Astyanax mexicanus: one gene and its partner. The protein of the gene in region 2 purifies or fractionates together with the protein of the main gene of each other region. This does not show direct contact. Links are inferred from orthologs where the notes say so. Each region holds a gene or a part of one and is shown on either strand. Other genes may lie near its edges. The genes, in order: nudc and mitogen-activated protein kinase kinase kinase kinase 5-like.

Region 1 (16,690 bases), on a different chromosome or scaffold from region 2:
ACCTCTTTTTTTAAAAACGAATATTCGAATATTCGCTTCGAATCAGTGCCGAATATCCGGAGCTCAAAAAACGCTATTCGGGCCAGCCCTACTGGTGATTTTAATGTTTGAATCATTAACATATTAAGTAAGCAATAATTAGCCTTTAAAAAGCACAGGCTAGTAAAATATAATACATTTACTAACAAATGTGTGTTAAAATACAATTTTTCAATACAAACTAACAATAAAAAAATATCAACTTGCACATGTTTTTTTTGTTTGTTTGTTTTTTTACACTGCATTGTTAATTATTTGATAGGGAATCGGTATCGGCAGATAATCAAAATCAAATGAATGGAACTAGGGGACAAAAAACAGTGATTGGAAAATCCCAAGCATTGGCTGATTCTCCAGAAGATCAGAAACAATACAGGTGTTGACATGCTATCATGCATAGATCTGATCTCATCTGGTCTAAATTTAGAATGACGGGTAAATAAAAGTGCAATTACAATATTAGGCCAAAGCTGATTCACTGGCCAGCTTTGTATTGTGCACCACTAGGTCATTCAAGAGAAATGAGCCTGGCAACAGTGTGCAAGTTCCAGTCCCGGTAACTCCAGGAGCCTGCACAGCCTGACACAGAGCTTATAAAATTACTTTATGGCTGTTGTTAAAAGAGCATAACCTGTCCTTGACCGGTAACAGTAGGAGTTACTGAGACACATCTTCCACACTTTCATTGATCTTTTCAAAATTTCACATGCTTTGCTATTGAAGCCATATATGGGACTGAGCCTTTAAAAAAAGAAAAAAAAAATCCTCAAACTCAGAACATCTAGAACATAACCTGCAACCAAGCTGAAGCAAGCATGAACTGCTTGCATTTTTGCACCAGAAGTGGCATAAAGTTATCCAAAAGCAGAGTGTAAGACTGGTGGAGGAAAACATGCCAAGGTGCATCAAAACTGTGATTAAAAACCAGGGTTATTCCACCAAATATTGATTTCTGAACTCTCAAAACTTTATGAATATGAAATTGTTTTCTTTGCATTATTTGAGGTCTGAAAGCTCTGCATCGTCTCATTTTCTGCAAATAAATGCTCTAAATGACAATATTTTAATTTGGAATTTGGGAGAAATGTTGTCTGTAGTTTATAGAATAATTACTCAAACACATAAATAGCAAAATCAGAGAATCTGATTCCAAAACTGAAGTGGTCTCCTAATTATTTCCAGAGCTTTATATATATATTTTTTCCTTGCAAAACTATGAAAATTGATAAACATAAAATATACTTTTCACTTTTAAATTTTTTTGGTTGCCATTTAAAAAAACATTTAAAAAAACAATTATTGCGGTTTGTTAGGAAAACTAGCATAAACAATATTTGCGCCGGCACTCAAAGCTTTTAACATGCACATCACATACACACAACATATAAATGGCAAAACAAGACTGTTTTAAATTGTGTAGTTTTAAAGCGTAATATTAACCAACATTATTCTGACAGATGAAACATATCGTTGTACCATACAGTCCTAAACGAAACCATAGCTTGCTTCCATGACCTCTAATAAATCGGTTAGGCCGTTTCTCCCTAGCCCACCCTGCTGCAGGTGCTGTATGATCTGGATTAACACCCATCCCTTTTAACAGGGACAGGAACATGAGGTTACTGCAGTCTCATCTTAAGAAATTCCTGATGCAATTCTCTTTGTTATTTCCTTGTTCCAGCTGCAACAATAATCAGCTGCAATCAGCAATGTCAACGTTTTCCTGGATAACTAATCTGGAATTAGTCTTGTTTCTGTTCGAATTTAACGAAGCTTGACTGTGTGACATGACGTACGGCTTCTGTGGAAAGTCTGTGTGAAGAAGTCAAGGTTAATGTCACTTACTTCTTCAGGATGTCCTGTTTCTTCTGCTCCTCAGAGGTGGGCAGGCCCATGGATTTCTGCCTCTGGTCATACATCATCTTCTCCACCATGCTGCGTGTCTCGCCATCCAGATCAGAGAGCTGGATGAAGAAAAAAGGGTCAGATCATATAATAATACTACATGCTGGCAATATTGTCAGGATTGTTAAGGCATTTTTACACTGCGTGCTATCTACATGCAGGGTACATACACTTTGTAACAGACTTTTCCATGCCTTCGTGGCACATTTTAATGACCATACGATCTTTAAAACATCAGTACAGACATGGCAAAAAAAAACTATAAATCCATGTCAAAATTATAAGTTATTATATAATAATCTCTCACCTAAAATTTTGAAACTTTGAAATATCACATTTTACAAGCTGAATAATATTTCTGCCTTACATATGTGTCTAAAATAAAGCCAGACAGCATTAAATCAGCATTTTTCTCTCACTGTGTGAATTTACGGTTATAGTTGAAGCTGAAAGTCCAGTCTAAATAGGACCCACATAGACAGCTAGTTAATGCAACGAGATGTGATGGATTTACCCAAACATTAAATTATTTTTTAAACCAAAACACTTTTTTTTTTATGATTTTTCCTAAACTTTTTGGGTATTTTTATTTTTCCAAAAAATATTCAGGCCTGAAATTCGCTTTTTCTAAACTCCATGACTTTTCCAGTTTTTCACAGACTCTGTATCTGACTTGCTTTTCAGCAAATGAGCTGAGCAAATTTGGTACCTGGTACCTAGAACTGAGTTCTTTAGTACCTGCTCACTCATGGTTCCACAAGAGTAGCTTAGGAACTGAAGCATGATATGTTAAGCTTGCAAAGTACTGATTGGCCAGTGAGAATACTCACACTATGTGGCGCCACAAACCAAGAATCTGCAACAAAATTATTTCAGAAGCTTCAATTGTTAATGTGTTTTCGTTCATAATACTGCAGTGAGGGCAAACGGTAAGCTATGATAGCGAAAAAAATAATCCAGATACAAGTTAAGTGAAGTCAAGGACTCTAGTGTAGGCACAGCACAGAGATTAAGATCTAATGTACAATAGCTTTAGAATAGGCTAATACCAACCAACATAATAAGTTAGAACTAAACTTTAAAAAAGGTTTAATATTCTCACACATTTAATTTTTTTATTTTGCCAAAAATCGCCTTAGAATCCGGTAAGTCTTGTGTATAAATTTTACCAGTCAGGTTATAAAGAGCAGTAAAGCCACACCGCTAAAGTACAGTGTTATACAGGAGTTTCAGTTCAGTTTACTGAAAGTGTACCTTATAGTGTGAAAAAGTATGGTTTAAAAAAATATATATATTTCTAAATTCTAATTTTTTACATTGCTACATGAAGCAAGTGAGCTTCCTTTAAGTCAAATAATGGCTAATCTTTATTTATGTCAGCTCTGTACATACCTTGGAGTTCTCTGGGCAGATTTTCTTGGTGTTGATTTCAGGATCTGTCGTCACCAACTTGTTCCACCACTCCATTTTATTTATCTAGTTTGAGAGTCAAACATATTATATTTGGTTATTATTATTAATTATGACCAACATATAACACTTTTGATGTTACTTATTTCTCTTCTCCTACCTTTTCCAGATGAACCGTCACTACTTTCCCATCCTCAATAAGCCAGGAGCTCTCCTCCACTTTCACCTCATTAAACAATGCAGCATCAATCACAGGTGGGTGGCCTTTTAAGCCCACCTTCAGAGAACGTCTCTGGACATCCACCACAACATCTTTACCCTTCAGCCGGAACTTCACATCAAAAGGCACTATCAACTGTGGATGAAATAAAAGATGCAAAATCTTGTTAACTAAGATACTGAAAAACTTGATATTGTACTGTTAATAAGAACAACCGTCAATGGTTTATGAGTATTTTTCTATGTAAAGATCTGGTGGATACACTTCAGCTATTTATTTATTTCAGACAAAAATAAATAATAGGTGATTAAATTTAAAGAAAGCATATCAATTTATTAAACAACCAGCCCCCTCCAAGAAAAGCATACGTATGCTAAACACCAACAAACTTTAACTCATCCATGCATGTTTACATAAATGGCCACAATCACAGAGCTTAAATAAGAATATAAAGCAACAACTGGATACAGTCATCATTTATCTCATTACAAATAAACTCATTAGTGTGGTCATATCTGTATTCGAAGAAACAAAAAGGCAAGCTTGACTAAAGCTCCACAAAATATACTCACATCCACTTCTGACAAGGACTGTGTCCATCTGTAGTTGGGCAGATCTGCTCCATTCCCAGAATTAGGTTTTACTTTGTTCTTATCCTTCTCATCTTCTTCTCCTTCAGATTCAGACTAAACGACACATCAGTAAAACTCAAGATTACCACACAAAACATTTGACAAGCTATATGTACAAGTATATATGTACAGCAGAACACTTTAGTGTTAAAAAAAAAGCATTATATACCCATATAAACCATTTAGTTTTACAGATTGCCAGTGTTTTGTTAGTGTTAGTGTTGTACACTGTAAAATGGCAATCCCATATGCCAGTACCGGTTACACTTACCGGTATGCTGTGACTGAAACATAAGTTATTTCATTTGCATGGAAATCTCACTATACTCTTGAAATTGAGTCAGGCAGAGACAGAGACAGTTCATCTGACTCTGAATACGGCAAATTGATCAAAATTCATCCTAGGTATGTCCACATCTTTCTTTTCCCATTATCATAAATGTGTATTCCTCACTCACCCCTTTTTCTGCTTTATCAGATGTATCGGCAGCACTGCTTTCAGTGTCTTTTTTCTCCTTTTGCTCTTCTTTGTCTTTCTTCTGCATAAATCATGCACAATAGAGAAATGCAAAAGATTTAAGGCACCAAGCCAAACCAATCAACTAATCAAACAAAACAATCAGGTTAATAAACGTACTGTAAACTTCTAGCTGTAAAAGAGAAAACTAGTGGACAGTCTTACCTGATCTATCTCTGTCTGCAGTCTCTCCGCTTCCTCATCCGTCAGTTCTTTAATTCTGGGTTCGTTCTCCAACTCTTTCTTTTTTCTCTCCTCTTCAGCTTTCAGCTTAGCAGCTCTTTCTGCTTTCTCTTTCTTCTCCTTCTCCTGTTTGGACTGTTTGTCCTTATGGGCCTGGAGCGCCAGCTGACTGTGATGGGCAAATGCCTCCTTTACCAACTAAGGAGTAAAGATTGAGTGAAGCACACTATATTACTAAACACAAACATAAAAAAAAGATTTGGAAGAAAACTAAAAAAAAAAAAAAAAAAAAAAGATAAGGGATTGTTTCTATTCAATGACATTAACTCACCCTCTCTGGAGCTCCAGATTCACCTCCAGTAAAAAAGTCTGTTTTTCGTCTGAGAAAGCTAAAGAATGTGTTCACCAACTGTAGAAAAAAAAGTGTTTATTTAGTTATTTCTTCTATTTGCCGTTTACACAGAAAGTCAGGGTACTGACAATATATCAGCATAATTAGTTAAGTGAGCCTTTGAGACAGAACAGGATGCACATAAAATGACTTGCTCGCTACCATTATCAACCAAACACATCCAGAACAATACAAAAATATGACCTAATCATTACTTTTCATAACTTTTTTTTTATAACCCTGATATCACAAATTCTGTTTACTTGCATTCTTGATTACAAGAGAATGAAGAAACATCGGCAATATTTCAGCCGGTAATGCAATAACCATTGCATTAATAAAAGTGCCTCCATACATAGAGGGAGGACTGCAACAAACAGAAAAGCGTTACTTAATGTAAATAGGTGATTAAAAAATATTTACAAACAGAAAAGCGTTACTTAATGTAAATAGGCAATTAATTTTTTTTTACAAATATGCTGCAATTTCAGTATTTACTGTCATTTCTGTAAAAATGATGATCTAATGCTCCCTGAACCTGAACTCTTTTACAATTCCAGCCCCACGAATCCTGACATTGTCATCTTGGAATATGCCCCTGCCATTAGGGAAGGAAAAAAAAACAGTGATGGATTAACCTGGTCATTCAGTATATTCAGGTAGTCAGCTGACCTCATTCTTTTATCACATACTGTTTCTAAACCTAGACCTGAAGAACTGCTGCAACTTTTTTTTTGTATATATATATATATATATATATATATATATATATATATATATATATATATATATATATATATATATTAGGATATACCTTCTCATTCAAATCGTTTTACTTCTTTATATTACTTTCTATTATATTTTAAATGTAATATTTAAGACATTAAAGCTACACAGGAACAAATGCAGAATTCCTTTGTAAACAAACCAGAATATGATTTATACTTTAATTCACACTGTGCTCAAGATGATTGTGGAGGACAAACACTTTTCTGTTTACTATGTAATTCCATGTGTGTTCCTTTACTGTTAAGGTCTTTAATATTAATTTATGACTGGTACTGTATGTGGGTGTAATATATAGTCCACAAATACAGTTATGGTGACAGGCCTATGTTAGCTGTAGCAGCAGACACTGATTGTTGATTATAGATCAAAACTGCTACTTATGAGAAGGTCTGTGACTAGATGCCCAGGGATTAAAGTTAAAAGCTGGCTAAAGTTAGCTAACCTAACTAGCTAGTTAAGCTTATAGTTTATTAGGATAAAAAAAAAGCTAAATAAGCTAGTTAGCTAACTACCTAGCTACACAGACACCGGTAACTTTACCCGTATAACGGCAACCACAGGAGCAGTGCTAGATTAGATTCTCAGAAACACAGCACGGATAGCTGCTGCTGCTGCTGTTCAATGAAATAATGAATAAAACCCTAACCAAATCCCTATCAACAGACAGGCGAGTAAATCAGGTCCATCACAGGCTAGCCGCTGTTAGCTAACCCAGCTAGCCGCCCTGCTGCTGCTGATGCTCTTGTTCTCGCAGCTCGCTTCACACGTTACCTCCTGCACTCCTCCTTCGTGCTGCTGCGCCATAACCAGCAGCATCCCGTCATACTTCTCCTCATCATCTCCCATTTCTAACAGCCCTGAGTCTCAGACTGCGCTCAGAAACAACGAACAGCGCGGAGCAGCGGACCAGCGGAGGCACGTTATTCACAGACAGGAAAACACGCAGCCGCTTCCTAGCTACAGGACCCGCCTCCAGGATTGACCAATCAAACCACCTCAGAGTTAACGGACAGGCGAGAGAGCCAATAAAATACTGGAACTAAAAAAACGTCACGACTCTCGCGCATATTAAAGATTTCCCCCGAGAGGAACCAGAGCCCGCGGAGAGAACTCTCTAGAAACGCCTGGAACATTTACTATCCGTGTAAATACAGACTTTACAGAGACAAAAAGAGTTTACTGCTCCTCACCAAACGCCCAGGACTGTTTAACTCACGAGCCGAGTCTCTTTTCGAATTGTGCTGGATTTATTTATAGGTAAATATGTAAAAAAAAAAAATGCCTGGCCCCTTGGGCTGGTCGATATGGCCCTAACATAACATCACGATATTTGATGGTATTTTTTGCAATAATGGTATTCATTGCGATAAGACAAAACATTTTTTTAATTTAGAATAAATATAAGCTGAGTGGCAGCTATAAGCCTTAATATACATTTTATACATTCAGTAGATACAAAAAAGTATAAACCTAGGTATATTTCCTATAGTAACTCAACAAGATTTATAGTACATAAAATAATAACAACAGTATAGCAGAAAAATGTAAAAAAAATAAACTAATTGAACAAAAATAAACTAATGTAACCAGGGTCGTGCACAGACATTTTGGGGGCCGAGTGCTCAGGGGGGAAAAAGGGCACTTTTTAGCGCACGTGGAACACTTCATAATAAAAAAAACGTTATCTATCATTGATTTGGGCTAGAGCGGCTAGTTTATCTGGTGACCAGTCGGCTAAAGATGCTTAGTAGTTTGGTGCTGTATGAGACATTTTACTGCACAACAAAATGATTTCACGTTGGTGTCTATGTCTGCACACTCTGAATGTAACTAAAAAAGTCTACCACAAACTAAAGTTTAGCACATATAGTGCATTCATGTAAACTGCAAACAGACAACATGCAGTGCAAGTAAAGGCGAAAAAATGTTTTCCTAGCTACAGGACCCGCCTCCAGGATTGACCAATCAAACCACCTCAGAGTTAACGGACAGGCGAGAGAGCCAATAAAATACTGGAACTAAAAAAACGTCACGACTCTCGCGCATATTAAAGATTTCCCCCGAGAGGAACCAGAGCCCGCGGAGAGAACTCTCTAGAAACGCCTGGAACATTTACTATCCGTGTAAATACAGACTTTACAGAGACAAAAAGAGTTTACTGCTCCTCACCAAACGCCCAGGACTGTTTAACTAAACTAAAGTTTAGCACATATAGTGCATTCATGTAAACTGCAAACAGACAACATGCAGTGCAAGTAAAGGCGAAAAAATGTTTTTAAATGGCAAAATCATCTCACAATTTTGTTCCCCTAAACCTTATTTTAAATTGACCTCTACAAGAAAAATCTACAGACTGAATATGGGTGTATCTGAATTTGTGATAAAGTAATTCATGCATTGCGATATTTCCTTCATTTTAATATCTTTTTTACAAGTAAAACATATTTGAAATATATTAATATTATAAATAGAGAAGTATCTGAACAGGTGGCATAAATAATTTTGATTGCATTGCAATACAAACAAATTGTGTCTGAATAACCAAAATTTTACTAAGACTAGCAGAACACTCCCCCAAACTATATTACAGTATAAAATATGCAGACAATAAATATTAGAAATATAATAATACAAAATATAATAAAAAAAAATCAGCAACATATAAGTATAAATATTGTATGATCTTTTATTAGATTATATAATGAACCAGAGTAAAATAAATAAATAAAAAATCATTGAAAGAAATGAAAACATTAAAAAAATATTTTTCTCTTTTTCTCTGGTGCATCATACAATATATACTGGGTTACCTTTTTTGCAGAGTTTTTATTTAGCATCTATAAAACATGTCTATCCATGAAACACATCTGTAGTTACAATGGGTTGAGTCAGACAAATGTGCTGTTGATATTTTTTGCATACAAATTTGTTAATTAGTAAGTGGCAGGCTAATCATGGAAACATGTCTGTAATTTCTGGAACTGCTTAAGCAATGCTTTAGCAATTTATGCCTTAGTCCACTTTCTCTGGATGCTCCACATTAGCACATTTTGGACTTTGTCCATTATTTGTATTGAATCTAATACATTTCTTCCTTATTGTGAAATTCACAACATATCTGGGTAGGCCTATTCTAACTAGTACTTGTCTTATTTGTTACACACATAAAAAAAATATAATTTATTTAGCTGGTTGTTATGAATCCAGGTCAGTTCATAAGCTGGCCATCCCATAGCTGCAATATACAGTAGGACCAAGCTGTCCTGTTTGGCATATTCATTAGAAAGGCTGTAAAAGGATGTTGCACAAATCAGTATCTTGACACGAGCAGTGATTAGTAAACTCTCCGTTCAGTCATTGACCGACAGTGCAGTTTTTCTGTGTCAGCCAGATAATGTATCTGTAGTAGCTCTATCATACAGATAGACCCATTACAAATGAGTACAGACCTTTCACCTAATGCACTTATTTACTTACTTTTGCTAAAACCTTGTGTTACCTGCAGATGCAGATACCAAACCAGTTTTAATATGTATTAAGGGTCCATATCAAAATATACTAAGTAAAGCAATCGAAACATAGTGTGAACGTTTTAAAACATCTTATTAATTTTTCTAGTCAATGAAAATTATAGCTGAAATATGGCAACTAACCTGTTTAGAATTTATATTTTTATGATGAAATTAAAACTGGTGCATGTAGGCACATACAGCTCCCTTTTCGGCTGCCAGTGTTTGAGCCAGGTCTTCTTTTTAAAAAAAGGCACAACAATTTGTAAGATCAGCAACAAAGGGACTTTATAGGAGAGAGAAAAAACCTTGTAAACTTTTAATGGAAGTCAGTGTAATAAGAGTTTATTTCAGGTCATTTTGAAGAGTTTCTATTGGTACGTTCATCAATAAATTTTGACAGTGTAAGGGACAGTTTGTCTGTTCAAATTATGTTGTAAACTAAAAATCCACAATAATGGAGATAAGTGTTTGTCATAGGACAGCGACAAAACTATTCGTTCAAAACTATTTAAGATGGTTGGCTAATTGTACACACTACTAACTGTGCAATTAACCACACCATGACTTGCATCTTCTAGCATGCTAGGCTACTGAATGTGGTGTATTATGTGCCACTTCAAGCATTATGTACTTGAAGTGCCACATAATAAGGCACACCAAGGTGGTACACCACCAAATAGCCTAATTGTTGTTTTTAATGTATCAAAAACAAAATATTATACATGCAATTGCATGTGGGCAGCAGGGGATGTCCCTGGGTCTTATGAATGTGCCTGGTTTCATATCTGACAACTGTCAGATATTGTCATTGTTGGATAAAACCATAATTTTCTCACATTTTTTCACACTACAAGGCGCACTTAAAATCCTTTAATTCTCCCAAAAATAATTAGTGTGCCTTTTAATCCGAGTATATCCAAGTATATCAGACTGTAGCCGGCTGCTAACGCTGGCTAGCACTACTGGAGCAGTAGTAGCATTAGCTGCTAACCGCGCTAAGTGCTAGCTCTTTCGACATTTAGCGGTGAGTATATCGGACTGTAGTCTCCATGTTTACCGTGTTAAAACAAGCTACATGCGATGAACCGCTAGCTAATATCAACCTGGCTTACCGGAACACTAAGAGTTCCTCAGTGTAGCCCTGTCGGCAGTATTTACTAGTGCTAACTGTGGTTAGAGCTAGTGGTTAGCTGCTAATGCTAAAGCTGCTGGCTGCTAAGCTTACTGTAAATAAACGCAACCGCTTTACTCACATTTTCAGGAGAGGAATCTGTGTAGATTACCATCCAGCACTCGTTTGGCTTTAATGCGCATTATAACCCAGTGCACCTTATAATGTGAAGATTTATTTCGCATTATTTCTATTAGAATTTGCAGTATACATTTCAGTAGCAATAATTCATTGTGTTTCACATTACAGGTGTGGCCATTCCCAAGCTGTCCCCTGATATAAAATTCATGATAAATTTATATAATGCTATTCCATGACTGTTGGCACACTAGATGCTTAAGCTTAATGGATCTTTGCCAAGATAAACTATAGTTGGAAAATTAAATGAAAATATTCTATCCTATATTTCTCTTTTACATAAAACCAAGATAGAACACTTCCTATCATTTAAGCATGAATGCTTGTAGCTAAACTGTTGTGGGCTAAAATGTTTGAATCTATTCTTTATCAATTATAACCCACCACATTTATTAAACAAAAAAAGGAAATGTATTTTTATGATCAGCGTGCCTTTAACTGCCATTAACCTCACGAAGCTGTCTTTTTTAGATATGATACAATACTCTCACAGCCCTTATCCAGTAGTGTGGATGATATTGGCTCAAAGCCCAAAGCCAATAAATCTTTTAGATAGTTGTCTCAGTCCTTGGTGTCTTGGTACAGGTAGAGTTAATGATGGGTAAACATGATAAATGTCATTTACCCCTTTCCCCCGCACACTTTTTCTGTCTGGATCAGCCACTGTGTAGGATCAGGCTGAATTAGCCTTATGGCCTCCACGTGGAGACGTTAGCCCACTCCGCGGTCCAGGGTCATGTTGTTTTGCTCGAGTCTGTGACCGCTCCCGCAGGTCGTAAAGGTCAAGGTTAACGATTCGTCACAGTCAGAGGCTGGCAGTATAAATAAGACTGTGTGTGGTAGTCCAGGAGTTGACATTCAGATGCTTGGATAAAGATCTGTCAGAGCAAACATCTCAGTCGACTTGTTTGTTAACATGACAATGTATTCACCTGAGGATCTAAAAAAAAGAGACTGCTGCTGCACTGAATGGGAGCACCATCCTCATACCATCCTCTATAACATTCTCAATCGAAAAGACAGCTATGGTCATCCAGACAACCAATGGGCCTGCTCCAGAATGCATTCCATCTGTCACTGCAAGCAGCAGAAGCTGGTATGCCTGAAGAACCCGAAGGTTACCTGCCAGGCAGTGTCTGCAGTTCTGCTGAAAACCGTCCACTTCATGAAAAGCCTTCCATCCTTTCACCAACTGCCCTCCAGAGATCAGCTGTCCCTGCTTCAAAACTGCTGGGTGCCGCTGTTTGTGCTAGGCCTCGCTCAAGAGCACGTAACGTTCGAGGTGACGGACATGCCAACGGCCAGCCTCCTCCGGAAGATCCTGCTGAACGACCAAAAGCAAGAACACAGAGACACAGACTACTCATCACCAACCCTAGCAACTGTCTATAACCTCAAATCGTGTTTAAACCAGTTCTGGAGTCTGGATCTCACTGCTAAAGAATATGCTTACCTCAAGGGAGCAGTATTATTCAACCCAGGTAATCATCTTAAAGTGATCTGTTTTCATGTATACAGTAGCAAATTTTACTTTACTGTGAAAGATAGGAGAGGAATGTTGCCACTGTTGCTTGTTTTCTCCGGGACTGGCAACTCTAGCAAAGCAGGCAAGACCATGCTTACAAGAGCTATGCTGCGTAAATCCTGTAATATTACTCTAACCCCTCAGCCCACATGCTTCTTTTGCATTTAGTAAGGTTTTTTGTATCTCTCAGCTTGTCCAGAAATGCATGTGTAAAGCATGTTCTTTCGAAGTGTCTCAAAATGCACTGCAGAGGGAGCTAAAGAGCAAGAACTAGCAGTTTTAACATAACACTGCTTAAATATTATAGAAATGTATTAAATCAGGCTAGCTGAAAATAAAATAGAACAAATCTGTAAATAAGGCATCCAGGAAGAATCTGAAACCAAGCTAACTAAAGGTTCTGCAAAATAGCTTACATGATCTGAAATAATTTATTAACAATGAGTTTAATTTTAAAATAAATAAAAAAATAAAATGCCACTATATCATTAAATACATAGTTATTGTTTTAAGTGAATGATTATTATGAAATTATTGTGATGAAATGTTTAGTATATTCAATGATTTTTTTTTGTAAATATTAAAAATTAGTTTAGCATGTTTAGTATCAGAAGTTTTGTATCTACACTTGTATAATAGTATAGACTAATGTGTAAGTTAAGATTAAATAGGTAAAATAGTGTGGAAATTAAGAATTATTGTGAAGGTTTGTGATCACGTCTTCTAAATTAATTTTAATTTAGCTACTTCATCAGATGCACTGATTGCTGACAGAAATAGCTTGCCTGGTCCCTGTAGAGAAGTATATTAAACTGCCAATAGAATAGGATTCTCTGAAGCAGATAACATGAACCAATTTGTTGTGAATGCAAAAACACAATAAAGCTATATTTAATATTTATTTATTTTTGTTTTTTTTACAGATATCTCTAATCTAATAAGCTACAAAGTGATACGGGGACTTCAGAAGGAGGCTCAGCAGGCACTGCATGAACTCATCCACACACTTCATCCAAATATTCCTGGACATTTCACGAACATTTTTCTTGCAGCCTCTGCTTTGCACACAGTAGCCCAGAGCTTTATTACTGAACTGTTCTTCAGGCCCATCATCGGCCAGACAGACATTAATGAGCTCCTGCTGGAGATACTCTTCAGCTAACAGCACTTTTTGACCTGTGGAATGAACTGACTGGGCATATCCTACTTAGAATTTTATTTGGATTTTTTTGACAGAAAAAAAGAGAAAAAGCAGTTTAAGTAAAGGAGTCCACTTTTTCCTTTAGTTTTTTAGGTAAGACATGTTATTTTTAGCATTTATTGGGCATCTGTTATATGACAATTGTCGTGTCTATGTCAACATTTTTATATCTGTTATCACTATTATATATCTCATATTCATCTTTAAGAAACTGAACTGCACATCATCAGCTATCAGTGTCAGATAAGCACAGCATCACAGCCGATATCAAATACACATCATTTTTTCAGTTTTTAGCATTTTTAGCATTAAAGTAAGTAAAAAACAGTACAGTAACAGCCAACATTTGCACTACATGATAATTTCACCAAATACACTGTATGTTACATTACCAGAATTACCATTTGTAGATACAGGGTTTTGGTTTGACATCATCTGTGTACTTAGGTCTACTTTATATTTTTGTAAATAATTATATTACAGCCATAGCATTATTATCACCTGCCTAGTATTGAGTAGATTCTCTTGTGCCACCATAACAGATCTGGGGTGAGTTTCTCAAACGCACTCTCTCTCCATATTAAGATGATCTTAATGCTAAGATGCTTATAGAAAGCTGGGCCCTGGTCATTTGAGGCATGGACTTCACAAAACAAAGCATCCTGTGGTGTTTTAAGTTGTGAAGTAGGGACTCCATGGATTATATAATGCATGGTGTCTTTTAGGTGCATTTAAAGCATCAATAAACCATTTCACACCAAACCACTTTAGATCACTTTATTTATATCTAGCTATATTAAGTATGCGAGTATTTGGGGAGTTCCAACTTAAGAACAACTGCATATTTAAGTTTACTGTTATCACATTCTGGTTTATGAAGGCAAGCAATCTGGTTTTATTGTAACAGAGCCTTTTTTTTGTTCCATTTTTTCTAAGAAAGATTTCCAGTGTAATATTTTTTTCATCGTGATTAACAATCTTTTTTAATCTGTCTTTCACCGAATATTCATTTTGAAGAGATAACCCTGTTTAAAAAATTAAATATTTGCTGCCCTCTTGTGTTCTATTTCTGTAATGTCCTGCAACTACAAGTGAAGAACCCACACTGAGGTCGTGATATTATACTAATGTTACCTGGCTGGCTCCTCTAACAGGTATTATTCATTCTCATTGGCAATTGTAATAAAGATAGCAATATAAATATACTATTCCTTTTGTGTCCACAGCATAGTTCTTTAAATTCCAAACAAACACTGTGCAACAATACATTTTCTAATAATTCAACGCTGATGTGGGCAATTTGCTATGTGTGCAGCGCTGCCTGGTTAAGTTAAATAACATCCTTTATATTGTTTGTTTTTGTAATTAAAGTTTTTATTACTCACTTCCTTCATACACTTTACAACAGACACAGGGCAAATCAACAGATACATTTTAAGAAAATTACATTCAGGAATCACGGGCATAAGTATATTTGTCAGCATATCCATAGAGTCAGATGTGACAAGGAACTAAAATATAATAATAAATCAAATAAGTCAGGAAGAGATTTGGCAGAAGAAGGGGTGTGGTCTGCTTGTTTTACACTTGTAGTTTTATTTGCTGCCACAGGTTTTGCCAGGCCTTGTAATGTGAGATTACACTTTTATGCTTTTAATATTGTTTTTTAATAATTTAGACATTTTAATGATTCACGTAGGAATTTTTTTATAAAAATATCAAGCTACCTAAAGAGGCACTGAAACCTAAACCATATTTGTTTCATTAATAGCTGAAATGTGTTTCTTTGAAGTAACCCTCTCAGGTTCAACTGTGCTATAGGCAAGGATGATGTGTCCGTGTACTTTGGTATGCAGACAAATCACAATATGCAAATCAGTCTATCAATAATACTGCCCCCCCCCCCCCCTCCCCAAAGGTGACATCCAACCATCTGCACCTCACCACTATCAGTGGTACACTGCTCAGTCCAATCAGTTCTTACTTCTGCCCCGCCCCTAAACCCATACATCACCCAGTGACCCACCCTAACTACCCCTCCCAATTTTTTTTAGCATTTTTCACATTTAATCTGAGGGTGGAGTCAGCTAAAATCAGGGGATTTAGTTACCCTTTAAACATGCCTGAGAATTCCCAGTCCACCCTGTCATCTTGGGGTAACTATACCCCTTTAAGAAAGTAACCTTTGACACCAATGACATCAAAACCTTCAGACTTCAGTTTTCTTTTCAAGGGACTAAAACACATGCTGAATTTGTCCATTACACGTGCCTGCAAGTATAAATATACTGTGAATAAGACAAGAAAAAAATATGTGTGGGATCATGAATATGATTCATACAAAATGGAAAAATTACAAATCCAAGTTTTTTTTTTACTTTTTGAGGGCCAAAAGGCACAGTATTTTGATACTGACCCAAAGAAACAGTAATTTCATAATACAGAGCCGAGAAACTGTTCATTTCTCTCACCACCAAACTAAAACAGTCACCAAATTCACAGAGAAGACAAATAAAACATGAGAACAATTGCAGTTCAATAGAAACAACAAATAAAGTCTTTATAATACAGCATAACTGCCACAAACATAACCAACATCTAGATATTATGTCAACATCTGAGTCCCTAATGCTGTAGTCCTAAATAGATGTAAAAAATCCCCCAAAAATCTGATCTATCTGTTTTCCTCCCAAACAACAAATCATTTTAGGGAAAGGTTGTTAACTGCCTCTCACTTTACTGCGTATTCAAGATTAGCCTATAAAAGCTGGCATTTCCCATGAATAAAACTCGTCCAACCTGTTGCGCTGTTTACTTTTACCACGCTTGGAGCCACTGCTCAGTCAACAGTGCAGGCTATTTGCTTTCCTAACGATTTAGGCCATGTTTTCCATTTTTAATGTTGCTTTCTGCTGTTGGAGCTGCTGAAACGTGCAGTCACTCTACAACACCATTCAGAATAATGGCAGAGAGTGGAAACAGTGAAACAGGCCATCCCTGGGCGGAGTGATCTCACTGAATGCAGCGCTGGAGGCCAAATACTTCCTAGTATCATGT
Region 2 (17,206 bases):
AATGTCCTAACAAACAAACAAAAATAAAGCTGCTGGGAACTTGGTCTTTGGTTCACCCATTCCTGGGACATGTGACGCCTTTAAACACACAAACACTAACATCAAGTAAATTACACCCATAAAATATCTTACTCTCTATCACTAACATCAGATGAAAATCACCTGAACAAATGCCTCTTGAAAAAAACATAGATGGGAGAAGAGAATCAACCATAACATTAATGACATCAATGAGCTCCCTGAAGCGCCCCAAAGTCCCATGCAGCTCAGACAGCAGCAACACAATAAAAAAACACATGAAAAAATTATGTGTGTAAAAATAACCCAGCATTAGTGTTCTAGGATTAAATCTATGAAAACAATTAAAGACTGATTTGTGCTTCTGCATCGAGTCAATACATAGCCTACAGCGTAGCCTGTACGAGCGCTTTACGCGGCGGAACTTGTTTATATTCTGTGTGCGTGGGTTGGCCTCTTTGCGTCGGCCTGCAGTTTAAACCATGAAGGCAGGAAGTAGTGGGCGGGAACACAGGGCTCGGCAGGCCAATCACAGCTGCTGCTGTCTGTGTCGCATTGTTTTTTTCTGGGGAGGTGCACATCGGGCTATGTCATATGGTATGGCATAGAGTACAGCATAGGAGTATAAATTGGCCTTTAGGCACACATAACAGCAAAAAGTGTTAGTCCTCCATCTGACCAATCCCCTGATCTAAACCTGATCAACTGAGATAATGGTTTGGGATGAGCTGGAGCTTCACAGCGTGAAGGAAAAGCAGCAACTATTGTTCAGCACCTCCAGGAACTCCTTCCCTTAAAATGCTGAGAAAACTATTCCAGGTGCTCTCCCTCATAAAGACACTGAGATTAAAATACCAAGTGTGTGCAGATCTGTCCTCAAAGCTACATTCTTAAATGTGCTACTTAGAAGAGTCTAAAGTATAAAACATATTCTGGTTTGTTTAACACATTTTGTTTGCAGAATATTTCTGCATGTGTTCATGTATAGCTTTAATATAGTCTTCAATATTAAATGTACAATGTAAAAAATCGTAAAAAGAAAGAACACACTAAATGAGACGAGGTATGTCCAAACTTGTACAGACTTGTAGAGTATTTAAAGTGAGAACAACTTCCTTTCCTTTCACCCAGTTCAAGTCTGACAACTCTTTCTTTTTACAAACTCATCCTGCAGTTCTACTCCTTCCTATGGGATGCAAATCGTAACATTCACAAGTTAATTATCAAATCAGGTTGTGTGGGAGTCTAACACTATCCGTTTTACTGCGTATCTTTAATCTCTCAGTATCAGTCTCTATCTCTCTCTCTCTCTCTCTCTCTCTCTCTCTCTCTCTCGGAAGGAAAAGGTCCCACATCCCCTCATTTGCATGGTGCACACTGCTTTAGAACAAAGAACACAAGAAAAGAGAAGAAAGCTGATGGTGTACGACACCAAGCGAGTCCTTTTTTCCTAGACTTTTTCTTACACAAACGCAATAATAAACTTTGTATCGTTTTGTCTCAGAGGTATTTCCTTGTCTGGACTCCCCCTTGTTGTATCTGAGCATGAAGAAGGCACAGCTGCTCTAAAGAGGAAGAAGGAAATGCATTAATGCTGTAGAGCAGTGAAGGCTGAAAATGGAATTCACTATTAGTATGATTTTAGTCTCGTAGTGTAGAGAGAGGCAGATGAAAGATGCTTTAATCTGACGTTGAAAACAGAGGAAATCACTTTTTCTTCCTGTTGACTTCAAGGCCCCGGTCGTCGCCTCCACCTCAGGAGTTTTGCATCTGGTGTTTTATGAAATAGGAATTGACCATAAACCACCATTTGGGTTCTTCTGTCTTAAATGAAGAGGAACTTCATGTGTAGGATGGTCATAGCGGTTTGTCAGCTGGCATTTGACATTTTGAATGCCGCCTTGTGCTTCTTTAAAAGGGGCTTAATGTTTAGTTTGTTTAATGTTGATTAAATAGGGTAAATAACAGTAACAGAGTTACAGTCAGTCTTGTATCAAGGGAGCCTCTTTTGATGCAGGTGGGGTGAGTTTGGTTTTGGTTTTCCTTTTCCTGCCTGTCGGCCATCCCCGTTCAGTCTGTTTCAGGCGTGGTGTGTTTGACGCATTAACACACACACACACACACACACACACACACACAGCATGAAACTACACACACACCAGCAGAGGTGTCAAGTAATAAAGTATGAATAGTTAATTACCTTACTTAAGTAGAAATGTTGTTTATCTATACTTTACTGGAGTATTTATTTTTCAGATTCTAATCTTTACGTTTTCACACAATTATCTGTACTTTTTAAAAATAGCCTCATTAATCCTATTTAATTTCAGCTTGTTTTTATTCCGGCTTCTTATCGTTCAATAAAAAAAACCCTTTTCAGATAAATCTCTATGCAGATATCAGAGTGAATCTGATTGTGGTTGGATGTAGAGAAGTGTAAAAATATTTAATTCCGACTCCCTATTGGTTTACCACCACACCTGCACATCATGTTACGCCCCCCCAACCCCACACTCCAGCAAGAACATAGCAGACGTATGTATCCGTGTACTCTGTGGTGCGGCCTCAGCTTTTGAACCCTTAAGTTACTTTATTTTTATTATACTTTAAGTAGTTTTGAAACCAGTACTTTTACACTTTTACTTAAAGAGTAAAAGATTGAGTTGATACTTCAACTTCTACAGAAGTATTTTTTTAAACCCTAGTATCTTTACTTCTACCTACAGAGTAATGAATGTGAAAGCTCTTCACACCTTTGCTCACTGTATGTGCTGATCTTAAAGTAAGCACATACGTGCAAAGTTTTTCTCTTTCACAAACAGAAACACACAGAAGCACGCATTCTACAGAGTCTACAGAGTAGTCTGACTAAGTGGCATTTACAGTATCAGTCAAAAGTTTCGACGCTCCATCTCATTTCGTGTTTTTCTTTATTTAAATATTTTTCTACATTGTAGATTTATATTAAGGACATTAAAACAATTAAAGGACACGTGGAATTATGTAGTAAGCATTTAAAAAAGTGTTTATCCTCCACAATCCTCTGATCTGGTGATCTGGGATGGGCTGGAGCTTCACAGCGTGAAGGAAAAGCAGCAACTATTGTTCAGCACCTCATGAAGACACTGAGATTAAAATACCAAGAGTGTGCAGATCTGTCATCAAAGATAAATGTGCTACTTAGAAGAATCTAAAGTATAAAACAGATTCTGGTTTGTTTAACACTTTTTTGATTACAGAATAATTCACCATGTGCTCCTGTATAGCTTTAATACAGTATTAAATTTACACTGAAAAAAATCTAAAAACTAAGTAAACACATTGAATGAGAAGAGGTATATCCAAAGTTTTTACTGGTAATGTTAATGTGTGTTTGTGTGGCAACAGAAAAAAATAGACGGTGAATATGGTGTAGGGTACACATAGGGTATGCATAGGCTAAGGTATAGATGTAGCACAGAAGCATACGTTTAGACTGTGGTTTAGGGTATGCACCTGCTATAGGGTACTATGGTGTACATTTTTTTTTATGATTTTTTTCCCATTTTCTCCTAATTTGCTTATCCAATTATCCCACCCCTTTGTGCGTCCCCATCACCAGTGGCACCTGCGACTCTAGGTCGACCCTAGAAGGATGAGGACGAGCACACACCTCCTCCGACACATTTGAAGTCAGTCACCCCTTTTTTCGAGCTGCTGCCGATGCATCATTGCCTGAGCAGCTAGCAAGCTCGGAGGAAAGCACATCGACTAGGTTCCGATACATCCGCTCACAGACGCCTCGTGCCGCCGGGCACCAACTTCTAGCGTGATGGGGAGAGAGCGCCATCTACCCACCCGGAGGGAGCAAGGCCAATTGTGCTCCCTCTGGGTGCCGAAAGCTAATGGCAGAGCTACATGAACAGGATTTGAACCTGTGACCTCCCGTTCATAGAGGCAGTGCATTAGACCACTGGACCACTTGGTGCCCCCTAAGGTATAGATTTAACACAAAGGATTAAATTGTCCTTAAAAATTAGGCTATGGTGTAAGATATACAGCTATACAAAGGCTGTGCATAAGCTACTGCATAGATTTGAAGCAGAATCAACAATCATCCTTAAGGCGTAGGCTATGGTGTGGGGTACAAAGCTGTTCATACGGTATGCATAGGCTAAGGCGCAGATTCAATTCAGAAGCAAACATTTGCCTAAAGGCATAGGTTACATGTAGGCTAAGATTTAACTTAGATTTAACTCAGAAGCATAAATTGGCTTTAAGGCGTTGCTATGGTGGAGGGTACACAGATATATATAGGATACGTGGAGGCTAAGGCTTAGATTTAACTCATGAATTGAATGAATTGGCTTCAGATCATATACTGTGGTTAAGCATATGTGGCTACGAATAGGCTAAGGCTTAGAGTCAAATTAACTAATAAATTAGCATTAAGACGTAAGCTATGGTTTAGGATAAATGACTACACACAGGGTATGCATAGGATAAGGCATGTATTTAACACAGAAGTATAAATTTAGCTTTAAGGCATAGGCACACATATACATAGGCTATGTGGAGGCTAAGGCTTTGATTGAACTCAGAAGCCTAAATTGGCTTTAAGGCATGTACTGTGGTTAAGCATATGCGGCTATACAATGGCTATGCATAAGCTAAGGCTTAGATTGAATGCAGGAGCCTAAATTAGCATAAGATATGGTTTAGTATAGATAGATGAATACACACCGGGTATGCATAGGTTAAGGCATCGATTTAACACAGAAGCATAAATTGGCTTTAAGACGTAGGCTATGGTGTAGGGTACACAAATATCCACATGCTACATGTAGGCTAAGGCTTTGATTGAAGTCATATACTATATAATCTGATTTAGGGTACATGGCTACACATGGAGTATGCATAGGCTTAGGCACAGATTCATTTCAGAAGCAGAAAAAAGTCCTTTAAGACAAAGGCTATGGTGTAGGGTACATATATATGATTGAACTCAGAAGCATAAATTGGCTTTAAGGCATATACTGTGGTTAAGCATGCATGGCTATACATACTATGATTTAGGATAGATGACTACACACAGGCTATGCATAGGCTAAAGCTTTGATTTAAGCTAATAAATTAGCCTTAAGACATAAGATATGGGTTAGGAAAGATTACACACAGGGTATGTATAGGCTAAGGTATAGATTTCACACAGAAGCATATATTGGGTGTAAGGTGTATACTATGATTTATGGTACATGGCTACTCATAGAGTATGCAAAGGCTAAGGTACAGATTTAAATTAGAAGCAAAAATTACCTTTAAGGCGTAGGCTATTGTATATGGTACACGGCTATACATAGGATATGCGTAGGCTAGGTTGTAGATTTAACTCAGAAAAGAAAATCGGAATTACAGTGTACACTAGGGTAAACTGTATATTATGAATTCTTCTGTACTACAATTTATTCATTATCTACTCTGAATTATTCAGTGTTCTCAATAAAGCGTCCAGTACGTACTATGACGTATTTAGTACATATCTGTATATTCCAAAACAGCAACTTTTCAAGAGAGAGTTAAAAACCTACCCCAATCTTAGTCAACCTCAATTCCTTAGTTTAAAAAAAGTTTATTTCAGGTAATTTTGGAGAATTTATAATAGTCCTTTCCTTAAGATATTTTGACACAGTGTAAGCGACAGTTTGTGTGTTCAAATTATCTATATATTTCACTGGAGAGCAAAAACAAACTGTAAATTATTTTTGAGTATGAAGTTTAAGTACCTCCTACAGTTTGTTCAGTATATTAAAATTTAAGGGGTTAAGATGTATTGATGGAATTCACCACTGAACCCACAGACTTATATCATTCGGACTAAAAACCCACCAGAGATCCGGAAGAGCCCTGTGAGAGTAAACGCTGTCATTAAAAGAGCGTCACACTTAAAATGATTAATGAACGATGAGCAGGCTAGATCAGATCTTCTCCTTTCTCAGGAAGAAAAACATCTTTCACAGAGATGAAGAAGAAGAAAAGCAAACCACTGAAACAGAGCTGAGCTCTTCTAATGAACGGCTAGAAAACCCCACAACACATTCTGCAACAGCAGCAGCACACATTTCTACACTGTAGAACTTAATAATTCACATCAGATACTAAATCATTTAGAGTAAATTCTGAATTGTTTGTAGTGGTTACTGAACAAATCATGATATGTATTTTTAGTATGTTTGTCATTTATAGTAGACGCTTAATAATTTTAAACGGTAAAGGAATACTTCATAGTAGAGACTGAAAAAGTCATTGTCGATGGTGAATAATTCAAAATAATTTTAGAAGTGATAATAGATACACAATACATTATAGTAGATACTTCATTATTTATAGTAGGTACTAAATAATTTATTGTAGATCATGAGTTCATAGTAGTTATTAAATAGTTCATAGGTTACTGAGTAAATCATAGTGGTTTCTGAAAAGTTTATAGTAGTTACAGAATAATTCGTAGTGGTTATCAAATAATTCATAGTGGTTACTAAAAAGTTTATAGTAGTTAATGAATAATTCATAGTGGTAACTGATAAGTTTAAAGTAGATAATGATTAATTCATATTGGTTACTTAATAATTCATATGGGCTCATTTGTAGTAGATACTGAATAATTCATAGTGGGTAAAGATTAATTAGTAGTAGTTACTAAATAATTCATTGTGCTTACTGAGGGGTTTATAGTGGTTCCAGAATAATTCATAGGAGATAGTGAATAATACAAATAACTGAATAAGTCATTGTAGTTACTAAATAATACAGCATATACTTGACATTTAAAATAGTGGTCATATTAATTTATTAAAAACAAATATGTCAATTTCAAAAGCTACCTTAACATTCCTAGTTTCAGAGCAGGTGTTGAAAACTGCATCATAATTCCTTTATCTAAAGTCTTAAGCTTGCTCTTAAACATTGGTACATATGTATTTTTTATTTTTAATCTTGAAATGATTCATCATTCTAAGAATGTTAACTTTAACAATCAGAAAACAAATGTTTTACAAAACAAACCAAACAATGTTAGCTATGCAGTTGCATTCAGATCTATATAATAGTAATAAAGCTGCCGTTTATTAGCTGGCGGTTATTAAAATAAATTGGAAATGGATTGAGGAAGAAAAGGCCGTATGAAGTGGCCTAACTGTGACCTCTGACCTTGTAGACTTCTCCATATGTCCCTCCTCCGACCCGCAGCAGGATCTCGAAATCATCCTGAGGGTTCCTAGTGGAGATGTCCAGAACGTCCATCGAGCCAGCAGACACACTTACTCTCCTGCATGTGTGTGTGTGTAAGTGTAAGAGAGTGTGTGTGAGAGAGTGTGTATGTGTGTGTGTGAGAGTGTGTGTGAGAATGTTCCCTCGTACAGCTGCAGAGAGAGAAGGTTTCAGTGCTGTTCGTACTCTCTCTCACTAAACTGAGCAGTGTGAACTCCTTCCTCCTTAGGCTCTGTCCCTCCCTCACCCTCCCGCTCTCTCTCTCTCTCTCACACACACTGACACACACACTCACACTTACACTCACACACACTGAGGGACTTTGTGGTTCATTTAAATTAAGATTGGTTTTATTTCCTTTTTTGTGTGTGTGTGTGTGTGTGTGTGTGTGTGTGTGTGTGTGTGTGTGTGTGTGTGTGTGTAATAGTTGGAAACAGATGATACTGTGTGTGTTTGTGTGGTCGGTGGTATGAAGGTGTGAATGTGTTTTGTGAATAGTGTGTGTGTTTGTGTGTGTATGTTGTCATACTTTTTCAGACCAAAAACTCTCTGGAACAATTAATTATGAATGATTCAGTCGTTGCTATAATTTATTTGGAATCTACTGTGAATTAATAAGTGGATCCTGTGTCTTTGTGTCTTTGCTATCGTAACGTCAGGAAAAGTATGACTTGTGCGGTTTGAAACACACATGGCACGAAAGGCATGTACTAATTGTTCATTAATAATCGTGAGTGTGTTTTAGGCATAATGTGAAATAAACCAATCAGTGTGTCACTTGTCATTCCCTTTAAGAGCCAGGTGCGCTCTGACTGTGAATTGCTATTTTAAAGGCGCAGCTACCTGGACGTGTCTAACATTCTCACTTTGATTCTGTTTATTGCTGATGCAAAAGTTAAGTTTGTGCACTGCTGTGTTAATGTGTGTGTAACAAGTTAAGGTGTATGTGCAGTGCAAATGTGTTGTCAAGATAGCAATGAACATCTGTTGACTGTTGATGTCTGTCTACTTTGTATTCAGTCATTGGCGTACCTGTGTTTTCTGTTGCCAAGATAGCAATACACCAGAAATTTACCTGAACACACCTCATTTCAAGACCACCACGCCCATCAGTGTAGATATATTCACAAGCACAATTGCTACTTAAATTTAGTAGAGAGTGAAAATAGACTGTTGGCGGGGTGTAAGATAGCAATGAGCATCACAATGCACCTTGCGCAGGGTGTAAGATAGGGCCCAGTATCTCCTATAAATGTTTCAGTACAATTTATGGGGTTAATTCACTACTAAACCCATAGACTTACATTACCCAGACTAAAAACCCTCCATTGATCCGGAAGAAGCTATGAGAGTAAATGCTGTCGTTAAAAGAGCGTAACATTTAAAATGATTTATGAGCAAAGATCAGACTAGATCAGATCATCTCCTTTCTCAAGAAGAAAACATATTTTACAGATATTTTACAGTATTGAGCTGTGGAGCAGATGAACTGTGTTCTATGGAATTATACTGGTGCTTTGATAAAAGGTCATCCAATATCCTGACCTCACTGACTCTCTGGTCAATGAATGCAATCAAATCCTCTCAGCCATTCTACTCCAAAATCTAGTAAAAAGACTTTTCAGCACAGTAGATACAGTTACTCCCACAAAAGCAGAATAAAACAACAAGAAACCATTAATCAGGATGTATCCCAACACTTTTGTCTCTCTGTGTTATATATCTGTATATGAAGTATTGGATTATACATGTACTTTTGATCTAATCATGTGGCACAGTGTAAAAAAACAACTGTGTGTGTGCATGTGTGTGTGTGGTGTGTGTGCAGTGTGCTCTGCAAAGGTTCAGCTTCCTGTAGTGTGGCGAGAGCACTGAACTGAAACCAGAAAAACTGCTTCCACTGGGGCCTTATCTCAACTCACACTCACACTCACACTCACACTGATCCCGCACCAGCTACACACACTTCTGTCCAGCCAGGGTCACCTTACTGCATCAGTGTGTAATATAAATATATAAATATATAAATAACTGTGTTAGACTGAACTGATGCTCAGGATAAATAAACCCCTAATAGCCAACAGATTCAGACTCCAAAAACAATTTATACATTTTGACTTTGTGCTGCCATCTGTTGGCCAAGGGAGAGAGAATTACATGTCGTTCCATCATATTTATATATGTACAGGAACCGGTCAAAAGTTTGGACACACTTCTCATTCAGTGTTTTTATTTTTATTCTTTACTACATTGCAAATCAATACTGAAGTCATTCAGACTATGAAGGAACACATAAGGAATCATGTAGTACATTTAAAGTGTTAAACAAACAAACAATTCTCCTTTCTTGGAGCAGTCCTGATGAGAGCCAGTTTCATCATAACGTTTTTGATGGTCTTTACTTTGACATTTCTTGCAATTTTTCAGATTGACTGACCTTCGTTTCTTACAGTTTTTTCCTTTCCTTAGTTTTTTTTAGAGTATTTCTTGCCATTATATGGATTAGAGCATTGCTCAAATAGGGCTATTCTCTGTATACCAACTCTACCTCTTCACTACTTTAAAACTGATGCTCTCAAACACTTTAAGAGACAATTCAAGTAGTTAACTCTTGATGAGTTCAGCACAGCTGTTAACTGAAAGCCTGAATTCCAGGTGACTCTACCTCATAAAGCTGACTGAGAAAAGAGGTGAGGCTTTGGAGAATCTAAAATATAAAACATGTTCTGGTTTATTTTAAACACTTTTGTATACTAAATAATTAAATTTATTTTTCTTCAGAGTTTGGATGAATTAATTATTAATCTACAGTGCAGAACATGGTACTGTATAACTGTAGAAGTTTATTATCAGTACTGCAGCAGCACCAGTAGAGGGCACTAATGCACTGTCACAGTCTCCACCACCTCCAGGTGTTCAGACAGGAAATATTTTGACATCAAATGCAAATAAACATATCCTAAAAACAACCTTTTACATACAGAGCAGCTTAGATATTATATGTTTATTCAGATCCTCTGTTCTTTCTGTATGATTTAAACTCAAATTAAAAAAATCACCCTTTATTTCCAATTTCTACTATTTATATAGTCGCTGTCCAATGAAAAACAAGTATCTCCAAAACAGCAACTTTACAGGAGACAGAAAAATCCTTCTAAACTTTCAACTGAAGGCAATGTAAAATTACTTTATTTCAGGTCATTTTAAAGTATTTCTATTGGTCCGTTCATAAAGAAATTTGGGCACAGTGTAAGGGACAGTTGCTCCGTTCAAATAATGTAGTAAAATTAAAATCGACAAAAATTTCCATTGGACAGCATACGCGTCTACTTTCTACAAGGGAACAGAAACAGCCTCTGCTATATACATATTATTTCTATAATTAGGTCTAAAATCTTGGTTAAGTTAAATATTGGTCATTAATATGTTTTTTTTTTCTTTATAAATCATTGGTTGTTCAGACCAGCAATTTCAGTTAATCTATATCATATATCAGATAAACACAGTGATATTTGAGAAGTGAAATGAAGTTCATAGAATTTACAGAAAGTGTGCAGTAATTCTTTAACCTATTAACATGCCTTGACCTGTATACAGGCTACAGGTGTAGGTGATACAAAACCTTTTTTTCTGCAGTAAAATAACTTATTTACGTTCTGAATAATCTCCTACAGGACACTTGGAGAAGCTGCCTGTTTTCTCTCTACTCCACTTATTAATTCCAGATCAGAAACAGCAATCAACCAAATTCTGCAGGTTTAAAAATAGACGTAAAAACTAGACAAAAGACCTAATTTTTTTTATTTTATTCATTACATTTTGACATCAGCTGATTTACTTCAATATATTTCTATACTTTCTTTTATAATTACACTCATAATTTTCAGTAATGTTCCTTATCAAACATGAAACCTTTTTATGTAATGGTTAAATAGAAATCCTCAAGATTTCGTGGTGTAATGTCAGGCAGAAAATTCACAAGAATCCTGGCCTGTTACACTTTTGTGCAATGACAGTGAGTCCAGGTTGTTTAATGCACAAAAAAAAAAACAGAAAAAAGATTTATTATAAAAACAAATAATGAAAAAAATAATTAAAAAGTGTAGTTCAGAGCATGCACAGTACCTTTAGGAAGCACGTATCGATGGGTAGCATAACTCGACGGAACACCACTCTTCAAAGAAGTTGCAAAGAGGAGAAAAACTTGCAATTGTTCACTTTAACCTTTCTCATAATTGCATTCACCTGTGAATGTAGGTCAAGGGCGAATGAGACAGATTTTGTGTTTCAATAATTAGTGCTAAAGGTATTAAAATCATTAAAACAACTAACAAATAAGGGTTCACAATTTTATGCACATGCCTAATTTTGTTTAAATAATTATTGCACACTTTCTGTAAATCCTATAAACTTCATTTTACTTCTCAAATATCAATGTGTTTTTCTGCTATATGATATATTTAACTGAAATTCCTGAACCAAACAACCAACGATTTATAAAGGAAAATCTTGAAAGTGATCATGGGTGCCTACTGTAAAGGTGACTTTTGGAATGTCAGTGAAAAAGTTTTGCACAAGAAACATTCACATTTCAAAAGGGTTTATATTTTATTTTCTTAATATTGTTTATTAATGTCTTATGAAGACTTTACAAGACTTTACATACATTTACTTACCTTGCAAACACACAGCATTAAGAGTATAAGTGTGAAATGTATTGAAATGAGAGAGTTGTGTGCTACAGGGTGTTATTAGCTGTGGTGTAAGACTTTATATCCTTCCACACTACTACTACCACCACTACTACACTATCCTATTACTGTAATGTTACACACTCTTACAGCTTTACACACACTCTACAGCTTTTACTATCAACACTCTAACAGATATAGGATTACATTTAACATGTACAAAAATATTAAACATACAAAGTTTGTTAAAACTCACATACAATTGAAAAGTAATGTATTTTATTGATATTATCAGTTTTCAGCTATCCCATATTTACATTGTATTTCACAAAATAAATGAAAAGTGTTTTTTTGGGGTTTTTTTTTTTTTGCATTAATAAACTGAAATTGTTAAAAAAAAACATGCTTGATCCAAAGTTTGACTTTTTACTTGTGTATACTGTTGTGTCTATGTTTGTAATTGTTTATATATAAATGAATACAGAAGATTAAAGCAAATTTAATGCATTTGGTGCATTTGATACAATAATAAACAGAATAACACTTAGCCCTTCAAACAAATAACCATATATCAACCATCAAATCAGTTATTGTCTTTACTATTGTATATTATTTAAAGTGTCTTCAAGAATGACATATCTAGTCTAATCAAATCACATTTAATATTACATTTAATTTACTATAGGGTTGTTTTTGTTATTGTTGGAAGTGCTCAATTAAAAATGTATTTAATTATATTTGAGTCAAATTTGTCAAAATGCCATGGCATATGTAATAATAACACATGTATGTGTGTATGGCACAATGACTGTACATGATTATAAACACATACAAAGACAGAAAAAAATAATGGCATTACAAAAAAAATAGAAAATAAATGTGCTAGATTTGTGTTTTAGTTAAAAAAAACAGTATAAAAAGTCATGCATGTTGATGTGTATATGGAACAATTATTTTACATGTTTACAAAACAGAATTGTAGATGTATAATGCCAATTACAATATATTAAATACATGTAATCAAAGAACTATAGCAGTTATGTGCAAATTTGCAGTGTATTTAAAAAAAATTATCGAAACCTTTCGTATAATTTGGACTATTAGCTGTAGCCGATCATTCAGAAGTGTAACACAATGTATTGTATCATGTATTTTTGAAATGATTCAGGTATTGTAATCAATGCATTTGATGTATATTCTAATTGACAAAAATAAATCTGTTTTTTGGATAGTGTTGTCTGTGTACATGAATTTGTTGCAGTTTGTTTGTTTGTGAGTGTCTTAATAAACTTATTTAAACCTTGCAGTTCTCTGGATTCAGTGCTGTGTTTTTATTCATGCCCTGGTTCAGCTGCCCAGACCTGCAACAAAAACAAACAATACAGTGTGATTTTATCTTCTTATACTGTGTTTATTTCTGTTATATACATGAACTCTGCATTTAAGAAACGCACTGATGTAACATAAGAAAGAAATAATAAAGTAAAAATAAAAAATAACTAGGAAAATAAAGAAAATACATTTATACTTTATACTGTTCATTTTTCAGTAATTGTTATTGCCATTTATATCAATAATCTAAAGAAGTTCAGAATAATGATATTGGGGACCATTATAGCTTAAACTTCCGTTTACTTAGTACTTAACAATCTACAGTTATTATATTATGTTATAGAATAAATCTGTTTTTTAGTCCTTCAAAAATATTTTTTATTATCCCATCACACATTCTCTATATGCATATTGTGGACAATCCATTATGATACATTATGTCCAAATAAAAACTTTAATGTTTACTTTCTCTTAGACATAACTAACTCTTCAACTAATTAATTCTTAAAGACCTAATAATAAAGCAATATGTTACAAGCTTTCAACATTACAGTGTTATAGCATTAAAGTATTACAAAGACAATGGGGTAACAGTGTTACAGTGTTGTATGTTTGCAGGGTAACAGGTGGGCAGGGCTACAGTGTGCATGTGTACAGTGTTACATGGCTAAAGAGTAAATGGTGTTACCCTTTTAACATTACAGTGTTACATGTTTGCAGGGTAACAGGTGTGCATGGATTCTGGGTTACAGTGTTACAGTGAGACATGGTCAAAGGGTTGCAGGGATTCAGGGTTAAAATGTTGCATGCTTTCAACATCACAGTGTTACGTGGTTGCAGGGTAACATCTGTCCAAGTGTACAGTGTTACATGTTTGCAGGGAAATGGATGTGCAGGGTTACAGTATTACATCGTTGAAGAGTAACAGCTGTTACCCTATCAACATTGCAGTGTTACAGCAATATTATGAAATTACAAGTATTATAAAGATATTAAAGGGGTTATAGTGTTACAGTGTTACATGTTTGCAGGGGTACAGCGTCACATGTTTGCTGGCGTACAGTATTACAGTGTTACATGTTTGCAGGGGTACTGTGTTAAAGTGTTACAAGTTTGAAGGGGTACATTGTTACAGTGTTACATGTTTGCAGGGGAACGGTGTCACAGTGTTACATGTTTGAAGGGGTACAGTGTTACAGTGTTTCATGTTTGCAGGGGTACAGTGTTACATGTTTGCAGGGGTACAGTGTTACATGTTTGCAGTGTTACAGTGTAACATGTTTGCAGTGTTACAGTGTAACATGTTTGCAGGAACTGTGTTACATGTTTGCAGTGTAAACAAGTGTAACATGTTTGCAGGGGTATAGGGTTACAGTGTTACATGTTTGCAGTGTTACAGTGTAACATGTTTGCAGTGTTACAGTGTAACATGTTTGCAGGGGTACAGTGTTACATGTTTGCAGTGTAACAGTGTAAAATATTTGCAGGGGTACAGTGTTACAGTGTTACATGTTTGCAGTGTAAACAAGTGTAACATGTTTGCAGGGGTACAGTGTTACATTGTTTCATGTTTGCAGGGGTACAGTGTTACAGTGTCACATGTCTGCAGAGGTACAGTGTTACAGTGTAACATGTTTGCAGGGGTACAGTGTTACAGTGTAACATGTTTGCAGGGGTACAGTGTTACATTGTTACATGTTTGCAGGGGTACATTGTTACAGTGTTACATGTTTGCAGGGGTACAGTGTTACATTGTTACATGGTAGCAGGGGTACAGTGTTACATGGTTGCAGGTTATCATGTGTGCAGGGGTATAGTGTTATAGTGTTTGAGCCACTAAGCCGGTCTAGAACTTGCCATTTGATAGAAATGAACCCTTGAACAAACTTTTTTTCTCTTTTTATTTCGTTCTCTATTCTGCTCTCTCTCTCTCTTTCTCTGTATGTATGTGTCAGGCAGTGCTGGGACGGAGTTTGGGCCTCCACTGCCTTGGAGAACTGGACTGCCAATGTGTGTGTGTGTGTGTGTGTGTGTGTGTGTGTGTGCGTCTCTAAGGAGGTCCAGGCAGCATCACTGCTGACACACTGTTGCTGCTAAAGCCAGATTAGTGTGTCTAAAACAGGCTGGAGAAATCTGCCACCCGGCCCCTAATACACAACCCTCTGTCACCCCCAATAACTCATACACACATAATCCCCCACGTCGTGACCCAACACACACTCACACACACATGCATAGACTACCCCATGCAATATATACTTACACACATATTCACATTTACACGTACACAATGTGCCTGTACATTTATTATGACACACACACACTATGCATTGTAGTGTACTTTCTGCGGGCGGATCTGACGTGCACAGGCATACACACACACTCTACACTAACTATACACATACACACACTCTACACTAACTATACACATACTCACACTCTACACTAACTATACACATACACAAACTCTACATCAACTATACACATACACACACTCTACACCAACTATACACATACACACACTCTACACTAACTCTACACATACACAAACAGGTGCAGGTGCAGGTGTGATGCATCACAGTATAAACCAATAGGGTGTCAGAATGGTATATGTTTATACTTCTCTACATCCAATCACAATCAGTTTCAGATTCATTCAGATTCATCTGGATGGAGAGATTTATCTGAATAGGGGTTTAATTGAACGAAGGGAAGCCGGAATGAAAACGAGCTGAAATTAAATAGGAGTAACGAGGCTGTTTTTTTTAAATGTAAGGAGCAGAAAGTTCAGATAATTGTGTGAAAATGTAAAGGGTAAAAGCTGAACAATAACTACTCCAGTAAAGTATAGATGAACAACAATTCTGCTTAGGTAACAGTATAAATTAAAGTATATAGTATTTGTACTTAGTTACTTGACACCTCTGCACATACACTACAACATATCCACACAAAACACAAACTCTATACCAGGGGTCGGAAATTAAGTTTGGCCGCGGGCCAGATATTTTCCAAGCCACGTGGCGGGCCACAAAAAAAAAATCTGTTTTGGAAAATGAAGTGTAATGGGATGGAGTTCTACAGACTAGTAGCTTTTCAGCACAGAGGGTTGTTGAACCATATTGCAGTACAGTTGAATTCAAAGCATGTAAAACCCAAGAAGAAAGAAAAAAATAAATAAATAAACACACTGCTGCTCATACAGGATCGAACCCATGTCTTCAGGGTCGCGGTCCAATACACTACCACTGCCCCGGGTAGTGAATTGGGACATGGCCGGGAAAAAAAACACCCTTATAAGGAGATAGGGAGCCCAAGAATGGGTGAAAAAACAAGAAAAATAGGACGGAAACTAAAGTCACACTGAGCGTGACAGAGAGGCAGTGGAAGAATGTAAACAAAAGCTCACCAGAGAAGCATATTATTTTTTCTTTTTTTCATTATCAAACAACCTCACGGGCCAGATGCTTCATGCTTGCGGGCCTATTGTCGATCCCTGCTCTATACACAAATATTGTCATGTTTACAGATCATAGCTGACAGGATTGATGCAAAGATAACAACACTTTTTTAGCTCTATTCGGATGGAAATAATTGCAGACAAAACCCAACTCTGAAACTGAATGTAGAGTTGGTTGCACTATTTAGGGTTTAAATAATCATTGACATACCAGGGCAACAAAATACACCTGGCAGTCACATGTAAATTTGGAGGTGATGGCAGTGAATAAATGGAGTAGCCGCTCCCATCTCTTTCATTTATACTGAGATTTCATATGCTGTGCACCTACACCAATCATCCTTCCTAACAAACAATTTAACGCTCAAAGTTTTAAAGGAAAAATATAATATAAAGAACCCCTCTCCAGCTGTTAAGCATGGGGGTGGGCGGATCATGCTTCAGGCTTGTATTGTAGCCA

Evidence for each region.
Region 1: the proteins of mitogen-activated protein kinase kinase kinase kinase 5-like (region 2) and nudc purify together in Homo sapiens (affinity purification with mass spectrometry; 3 studies listed by BioGRID and IntAct, with this or other methods). This does not show direct contact. The link is inferred for Astyanax mexicanus from reciprocal best matches to the Homo sapiens genes MAP4K1 and NUDC.

The regions. Positions count from the first base shown.
Region 1 is NC_064410.1:21,450,407-21,467,096, forward strand, and holds the start of nudc (nuclear migration protein nudC), read right to left. Parts: upstream 7,049-16,690; 5' UTR 6,933-7,048; coding exon 6,858-6,932; intron 5,316-6,857; coding exon 5,238-5,315; intron 5,105-5,237; coding exon 4,889-5,104; intron 4,746-4,888; coding exon 4,665-4,745; intron 4,261-4,664; coding exon 4,147-4,260; intron 3,710-4,146; coding exon 3,515-3,709; intron 3,421-3,514; coding exon 3,337-3,420; intron 2,004-3,336; coding exon 1,885-2,003; intron 1-1,884. Other genes in the region: nr0b2b (nuclear receptor subfamily 0, group B, member 2b), read left to right, coding at 11,824-12,388, 13,356-13,594. UniProt on the Homo sapiens protein: Plays a role in neurogenesis and neuronal migration. Necessary for correct formation of mitotic spindles and chromosome separation during mitosis. Necessary for cytokinesis and cell proliferation.
Region 2 is NC_064425.1:7,411,813-7,429,018, forward strand, and holds the start of mitogen-activated protein kinase kinase kinase kinase 5-like, read right to left. Parts: upstream 7,473-17,206; 5' UTR 7,297-7,472; coding exon 7,204-7,296; intron 1-7,203. UniProt on the Homo sapiens protein: Serine/threonine-protein kinase, which plays a role in the response to environmental stress. Appears to act upstream of the JUN N-terminal pathway.